Linked DNA regions of Danio rerio. The protein of the gene in region 2 binds, or shares a complex with, the protein of the main gene of each other region. Links are inferred from orthologs where the notes say so. Each region holds a gene or a part of one and is shown on either strand. Other genes may lie near its edges.

The links. Proteins that work in one complex are often made in the same cells at the same time.
Region 1: the proteins of ccnd1 (region 2) and ambra1a are in contact, whole or in part, in a cryo-EM structure (PDB 9IVD), measured with the Homo sapiens proteins. The link is inferred for Danio rerio from reciprocal best matches to the Homo sapiens genes CCND1 and AMBRA1. Residues at the interface, in NP_444284.1 of Homo sapiens: Thr286, Pro287, Thr288, Asp289, Val290, Arg291, Val293, Asp294, Ile295; in NP_001354397.1 of Homo sapiens: Arg54, Ser55, Phe57, Val73, His75, Arg96, Thr97, Trp99, Leu116, Ala139, Arg184, Ile945, Asn1012, Asn1029.

What each region holds. Positions count from the first base shown.
Region 1 is NC_133182.1:39,567,036-39,570,915, forward strand, and holds part of ambra1a (activating molecule in BECN1-regulated autophagy protein 1A), read right to left. Parts: intron 3,033-3,880; coding exon 2,966-3,032; intron 2,869-2,965; coding exon 1,496-2,868; intron 1-1,495. UniProt on the Homo sapiens protein: Substrate-recognition component of a DCX (DDB1-CUL4-X-box) E3 ubiquitin-protein ligase complex involved in cell cycle control and autophagy.
Region 2 is NC_133182.1:69,632,059-69,636,711, reverse strand, and holds the start of ccnd1 (G1/S-specific cyclin-D1), read left to right. Parts: upstream 1-1,752; 5' UTR 1,753-2,031; coding exon 2,032-2,229; intron 2,230-3,626; coding exon 3,627-3,842; intron 3,843-4,213; coding exon 4,214-4,373; intron 4,374-4,653. UniProt on the Homo sapiens protein: Regulatory component of the cyclin D1-CDK4 (DC) complex that phosphorylates and inhibits members of the retinoblastoma (RB) protein family including RB1 and regulates the cell-cycle during G(1)/S transition.

The DNA.
Region 1 (3,880 bases), about 30 Mb from region 2:
AACGTCATCAGGGAAATGGTTTGAATTTCCACTTAGTAAAAAAAAACATTAGTGTGCCATTTGGGACCCCACTACATACATATACTATGCTGTTGAGTGTGTAAGTGCATAAGTACATAGTGCATGAGTGCATAGTGTATAGTGTATAGTGTGCCATTTGGGACGCAGCTTATGATTTACTGAAATGTTGTAGATTCAACTTTGAATCAAAAAAATGAAAGCTTAAATGTTGTTTAAATCTGAATTACTCCAGTTGAGAGGATGCTTTAGAAATATTTGTGATAGTATGGCAAATTTAATGCCCAAGAAGCATTTTTATATCATGATACATGCTGGAAAAACAGTTGTGCAGCTTTGGTTGTGGAAACAGTGATATACTGTTAATATTGTTTGAAATGCTTTTACTGTTGCTTTGGAATGGTAGTGCAAATATGGCCATACCTTTTTCTGTTGTTGTCAGTAAAAATGTTGAATGTTGGCAAACAACTGGTCAACATAAACAAAATACCTTATTGTGGCAGATTGGGAAAAGTTTCTAAACATCTGTAATCACTGCTGTTATTTCTATATAGAGGACCAAGAGCATCATCTGACATTAATAAGTTGTGGAATTGCAAGCTAGTTCAGGGGTGCCTAAACTTGGCCCTGCAAAGTTTAGTTCCAACCCTAATAACACACACCTGGGCTAGCCAAACAAGCTCTTACTAAAGCCGCGGTTACACTGCATTTTTCACTCCATAGACTTCCATTCATACACATGAGAAGGCAGCAGACCGGAAACACAAGCCTGTGCGACATTTCACTGTGCAGTTCGCTGGATTGAAAAGGTCAAGTTTGGTAAACTCTGACCTGCAAAGTCGCATCATGTGATTGTGTGAGACCAATCGAAGATCAAAACATGACCTCTCATTATAGAAATTTAAAATATGGATCAATAGCTAATTTTTTAAAAGTCTAATCAGCTCGTTTAATCCCGGCCCTTTTGGCAAACGCCATACAACAGAATTTTGCATACTCAAACTCTACTGTGACCATGGTATTCGCTTTCTAGAAACATCTGTGCAGGTGTGTTGACTGTTGAAGCTAAAATCTGCAGGACACCGGTCCTCCAAGACAAGTTTGGGCATCCACGAGCTAGCTTTTAGTGCAGATAAGTGGTTCCCAATTCCATTCCTCGAGACCATCCGCCTTGCACATTTTGTATGTCTTCCTTACTAAAGATACCTGATTTAGATCATCAGCTCAATAATAGACATCCAAGAACTGATCCTTGTGTGACAAATAAGAGAGACATAACAAAGTTTGCAGAGCAGGAGGGGTCCCGAAGACCAGAATTGAGAAACACTGTTGTAGATTAACTTTAAGAAAAGTTGGACTGGTTTGGAAACTTCAAAACAGCATGTTTTGTTGTACAATGAAACATTTAAACCTTTGGATGCTTAATTCCTCATGGAACAAGTTGTTTAAGCAATTAAAAAAAAGACTACAGCCTCACCTGCGCAAGTAATCGTTATCTGGTGTGTCTTCAGGCATTTCCTGGTTTAAGGCTCCTTGTGATATGTTTGCAGAGCGAGAGGAGGCAGACTGTCTGTAAACACGCTCCAGTTGGCCAGTTTCCTGGTTAAAGACAAGCCCAACGGCCTGCTCCTCATGCTGACCAGTGTCAGTTCTCTGGGAAAATGGTACATGAGGCTCTGGGGTATTTGGTGTGGACTCTATGGGTCTGTGTTCCAGTAGGTGTTCATTAGATTGTGAAACTGGAGCTACGCTGTGGAAGGCAGAACTAGAAGGTTGCCATGGTGTGTTTCTCTCAGTAGATGAAGGCTGACCTGTTCTGTCCCAGCGCCGGCTACCCTGATTGTAGGTGAAAAGATTGTGGCATACTCTACAGCGGTTCATGTGACTGTGGGGAGGGTTTTCACCGCTATAGGGTGACTGGTAATGAGATGGTCCTGGTTGCTCTGGGTCCATGTTGTTGTTGAGCATTTCCTGAGTCTGCTGGTCCTGTCTGCTGCCATCAAGAGGCTGGACCGTGTCCTGCGTTCCCTCATAATCCATAAAATAGCGGTAAAGGTTACAACGCAGGACACTGTGGATGGAAGAGGAGCTGCTCTGTCCCTCTTCTTCTGGAGGACGGTGCCTGCTGGAACTAGTTCCCGGTGTGCTGCCCCATCTATCACTAGCAGAAGTGTAAACAGGTGATTGAAAGGAAGTCTCTTGCTGTCGCAGGACAGAAAGAAGGCTAACAGAGGAAGCGCCAGTTCTTTGTGGAGTCATACTACTGCTTTGTCCATTAAGTCCACTGACTGTCCAGTCTGCTCCAGGGTGACGTCCTCCACCTTCCCTACCTGGTGGATGTTGTCGGAAATGCGGGACAGGTGCCATTCCAGTCACTCCCCTCCTGCCAGAGCTGGAAGAATGATTCCGCATGTTGCTGCCTCCACCATACACGCTGCTGAATGCAGAGGAGCGATTTGCAGCACGAGACTCAACAGAAAACCGTGACATCTGCAGTGGCTCTGTGCGTGCAGAAGAAAAGGTGTGAGCTTGTGCCTCCAGGGATGCCGAGTCTGAAGGGTCCTCATCAGGTGGAGATGGAACTCGTGCTGCAGAGCAACGGCTACAAAAACACACCATTCCAAGCGGCTGAACGCACATAAGAGTGTAAGGGCCAGAAGAATCGGAGGACCCATCAGTGGAAGCAGAATGGGCACCTCCAGCCTGAGGAACAGAGTTGCGGGAAGTGAGGATGTGCAAGAAATTGTGCAAGATGGGTGTGCGCCTCGCAGGCTGGGACTGCAGGAAGGAGCGCTGTCGGAGATGAGGCATCTCCACACTGTCCATTGGAATCTCAGGATCATCATCATTCTGAAACAAACGAATACAAGCACATTTATGGTCCCGAACTTTTAAAATAAACATGGGATGTCTTATACATGTCTTAAACAACAGCAAAAAGACTAACCGGTTGGTTCGAAGGGTTTACAATGGCAGTTAGAAGATAGTGACCCAATGGATCAAATCTCACCAATCTGCAAAAAACACAGAGAAGCCTCATAAAAGCATCAGATGGACTTGCCTGTACAGTAAATGTTCATTATTAAAGATTCACACAAAAAATTTTGAAACACAACTGAAGCTATGTTTTATAACAACTGAAATTTCTGTTCATCCATTGAAAGTATATGTATGTACCAAAGATTTGGGGCTTTAATGGGATAGTTCAACCAAAACTGAAGATTTTGTCATTGTTTACTCGGCCTTTACTTGTCCCGAAGCTGTTTGAGTTGAACACAAAATTTATAAACAATTTTGGAATCCTATGATCATTGACTTACATAGTATTTGTTTTTTCCTACTATGAATGTATATGCATAGCGTACTTTAAAATTCTTCAGTATATCTTTTTTGTCGTTCAACAAAAAAGAACACTTTTCAGAACCACTTCCCTCAGGTAATCCATCTTATGAGTACTTGCTAATAGTAATTGTGAAGCAAACATCACTACTAGCTATACACTTTTTATACACATATACACTTGTTTAACAACATACTTTACATGCCAATTTGCACAGAACAGCTGCACATATACCGTTGTGTATAGTAAAATACCTGTAAAATACCTGTATACACAATCCCGTCTTTCTAATTCTGTTGCACTGTAGAAGCTCCGTCACAAAAACTAATTTCTTGAATGTGTGAACATACCAGGCAATAAAGGTCTGATTCCGATTGAGGGTTAGTACATTTTAATTTTTGGCTGAATTATTCCTTTAACAAGTTTAAATAGATTATAAAAGCAGTCCATATGAATTGAGAGATTAATCCAAGTCTTCTGAAGATTTAAGCTTTCATTCTTGTTGAAACATTAATCAGCGTG
Region 2 (4,653 bases):
CAGTGTCATATAATAGCCTGATATATTATTAAAGTAATCTAATAAAGTAATTTTTGATCTTATAATGAACAGCCTAAACTACTGTTTGCTATTAAATTAATTAATATATTTGCCTAATATTTAAAGAGCATTGTTGATATGTCTATATGTAAAATGACGTGTGGGGGAAAAAAACTTAAATCAGTGGAACATTTAAAGTTTTTCTTGTATTCTAGTTTCTCTCTGCAACTCGTTTTGGTCTTTGTCTTTTCTGTAAAAAAAAAAAAAAAATACAAAATTCCATTATATGCATGTTCTTATAGAGGTTTAAAGTAATAGTAAATAATACAGTAGCCTAATAACAGTTGCTATTATAGCCTAAGATAATATTATACTATGCTAATAAAATAACTTTTGATCTTAGAATGAACGTACTAGCCTGTTTGCTACTAAATATATAATAAATAAATAAATATATATATATATATATATATATATATATATATATACACAGAGTGTTGTTGATATGCTTATGTAAATGACTTGTGAGAACACTTAAATCCATGTAACATTTAAAGTTGTTCCTTTACTCTAGCTTATTTCTGCAACTCTAAAGTTTTTTGTCTTTGTCTTTTCTGTAAAAATAAAAGTTATATTTTTTCTTTAATATGCATGTTCTCAAAAAGGTTTAAAGTAATAGAACTTAATACAGTAACTTAGCTGCTATTATAGCATAATAAGCTTATAATACATTTATTAACATTTAAAGTTGTTACTTTATTGTAGCTTCTTTCTGCAGCTGAAGTTTTGGGCACAGGCAAATTACTTGTTTTACGGTATTGAAGTGGAATGTGCGGAATTTGTAAAGCTTCAATTCATCCTGAAGCGACAGCAGTGAGGTCTTTTAAAGTGAGAGCGCCCCTGTTTGATCAAACTCTATCAAACAATTTGTGTTGTTAAAGCTGCAGATGTCGTGTTTAAACTTTACCGGTGAGCTAATGTTTTCTTTTAACGCGGTTTGTTTCCGAGTCTAAATATTATAACTACTTTATTGTTTGTATTATTTTATTATTTGAAATATTTAATGTTTTGGTGTACAAAGAGAAAAAAAAAAGTTAAATGAGATTTAAGGAAATGTATTATTAAATACGACAAGAAGAATGCTTCACATGATTAATTTTAACAATTTATTTTGTTTATTTAACATTTCCACGAGGAGTTTTTTTTTAGATAAAAGCTCGTGCCGCAGTTCTGCCTGGCAACTGACGTGCTCCTCCATTGGTTTAGGCTAATTTGTGCTTCCTTCTTTAAGTCTAACCCCCCAAAAAGAAACAAAAAAATAAAACAAGCCTCCACCCAAGACCACACATTTGTTTCATATATAGCCTACTGAAACCACATTCAAGTTTGTGCAGAAACTTAGCTATATGAAACTTCATAAAGTAATCCAAAATCTTTTAAAAACATTTTAAAAGCCTGATTTTAAAAGCAGACAAGTGACTGTGACCAAATTTATTTTACAAATAAAACTTTTGATATATGCTTGTACAATTACAGTGACAAAAGTTTTTCAATGCGACAGTGTGGGCACCTTGATTTAGGCTATTATACTGCCCCCTACCAATACTAACCCAATACACATCTTCACCCCAGTCTTTTCCACCCCCGATACCCACGACACTAGCAGCCTGCCCCCTGCGCCCCCACCCCGGCCCAGCCTACCCCCACCACCGCTTCTCCTTGGTCACTCGTCACCCGGCGTAGGACCTCCTATTTCCATAGGGCTAAAGAAAGGAGCCAAAACTGAGAAGCAGATAGTTCTTTAGATTGATCCTCCGCCCTGAGCAGACAGCCTCTCGCTCTCTCACAGGCTCGCTGCTGCTGCTTTGATCTTCCCTTAACAACAGTCACGTCATAGGGGAGTTTTGTCAAGCGGAGAGCTGCAGCGAGACTTTTAGAGGGTTCAGCAGAGGCAGCAAAAAGCATCCACGGGACCAGTGTCCGACTCGAGCTCCAGCTTTCTTACTTTTCTCACTGCTAAACACTGAAGATATGGAGCACCAGTTGTTTTGCTGCGAAGTGGATACCATAAGAAGAGCTTACCAAGACAGCAACCTGTTGAATGACCGAGTTTTACAGACAATGCTTAAAGCTGAGGAAAACTATCTCCCATCACCAAATTATTTCAAGTGTGTTCAGAAAGAAATTGTGCCTAAAATGAGGAAAATCGTCGCGACGTGGATGCTCGAGGTTTGTTTTGGATAATATATTTATATATCTCTTTTTTTTTGCATTTGCTGCTACACACGTTGCCTCACGATGATTCTACTCTTGCTCTTTGGACTCCAAGAAGTATTTATTAAATGAAAAAAAATGCTTTAGTGTGACTTGGGTTCATCGGCATTGCTTATCCATCCCAGAAATATCACACAGAAACACGCTGTCCGATTATTGTTGCTTATTTTTTACGTAAAAATGTTTTATTACGAAATATTAATCCGACACGAGACGTTTTCCGTGCTTTCCGCTTTAGCCTTTTTATTTAGGGTTGTTATTTTTTCATGCATGCGTTTCGTTTCTTATAAATATTTTAAAATATAGATACATTTATTTATTTTTATTTTATTTTAATACCAATGTACACGTATGCATTCTCACTCGTGCCAGTAGCCTATTATACGCCATCTTTGTTGTCGTTTGCTTAAGTTTTTTATTTCTCTAAATTCTAAAATGGAAACATAATTGACATCACCTGCATAAAAGCGCTCACAAGTTGTCTTTTAAATCACAGGTATAACATAAATCAAATTTTTGCAAGAAAACGTAATATTTGTGTCTTAAAAGTTTTGTTTCAGTTTGTCATACCTCCTGCACGACGGTCTAAAAATATTGTATTATTTCATTTCTGAATTCAACATCGTGTTATAACCTATCGGATTATGTTAACCCTCTAATAATGTGGATTTACAGATGTTTAACAGTAGATTTAATGCTAAGGAATAATTTATATTAATTTATGAAACACCCGCTTCACCTAAATGTCGCATGCTTCCCTTTGTATGATGGGGCTTTGGATTTCAGTTCATTTCACGTAGTTTTTGTCATTGCAATCGAAATATTTTTGCATAATCTAATAAAGCATGAGTTACAGTACATTTACATGTGTTTAAAGTCAAGCAAAACAATTTTCGTATATTTTTAAATATTTTTTGAAAAGATGACGAACTAGAAAATTGTTTCCTGAACCGAGCTCAGACGCCACCTTTTTGCCTCGAAAGCAACGACCATTAGCATCAGAAGCAAATTGTAACATTTATACTTTGTGCAACACTTAGGATTAAACTTAAATTACTGATTAAATACTATTTTTAAGCATTTCCACGTGTCTTTTTTTTCTAATTTAACCCTTTCCACTGCACGTGTACGAATCAGCAGATGCTAAACACGTGGGATAACTCGATAAGATCAAAGCATACTGTAGCTTAAAAAATATTTGCACTTCGTTTATTTAATAAATTTCTATGAATAGTTTTTATTTTTATTTTTTATTTTTTTTTATTTATATATTTCTACACGTTTAATTAAAAGAATTAGCTGCTGTTGTGACTTAATATTTATTTATCGTATGCACTTTCTTTTCTTTAAAGGTCTGTGAAGAGCAGAAATGTGAAGAGGAAGTTTTTCCTTTGGCTATGAACTACCTGGACAGGTTTTTATCTGTGGAGCCCACCAAAAAAACCAGGTTGCAGCTTTTAGGAGCAACTTGTATGTTTCTGGCTTCAAAAATGAAAGAGACTGTGCCACTTACAGCAGAGAAGTTGTGCATATACACGGACAACTCTGTCCGTCCCGGCGAATTATTGGTAAATGTTTAATACTCTTTAATTTAGCAGCTTGATATTGTTTTCTTTTTTTTTTTTTTTTTGTGCTGAATTAAAGTAAAATAATGCAATTGAAGGTCATTTTGCTCAAAGACCTATACGTTAAGGTATTGCATGAAACAACGAGCTAAATGAGTTTATCAAAGTGTTAAGGCACCCACAGATATCTGTAAATAACAGTACATGTTACAAATTGTTGGTGCTTTTGATGTGTGCGTTAATTGAACGTAGGCCTTGCGTTATTGTGCAATTAATCGACATCTCCATCTAGCGTTCAAAGAGTGTAAAATCTGAAATGGAAAAATCGTCTGGGGCTTTATGTAAACTTGGACCATTTTATATCTCCCTCGCAGCAAATGGAACTGCTGGCGCTAAATAAACTGAAGTGGGATCTGGCCTCAGTGACACCACATGATTTCATTGAACACTTCCTTGCCAAACTGCCTATACATCAGAGCTCCAAGCAGATACTGCGCAAACACGCCCAGACCTTTGTGGCCCTCTGTGCGACAGGTATGTTTGTACTTTTGAGCTCACTTTTATTTTGTTTCGGTAACTTTGCAAAAGTTTTGAGCACTTTATCATGGTCATGCATTGAAGATCCTTCCCTCACAGTGTTTTACTTTCAGGCAGACTTCTTTATTGCAATTGAACGAGCCATCTTGCTTGTCCTAATTCCATACTCACAGTTATTGTAAACCAGTGAGAGGCTCTGCAAAGAGAGAGGAAGTCTGTTTCCTTTTGTGGTGATTGCTGACTGCTCCAGAGCTTCTGAGAAGCCCTGCCTGCTTCA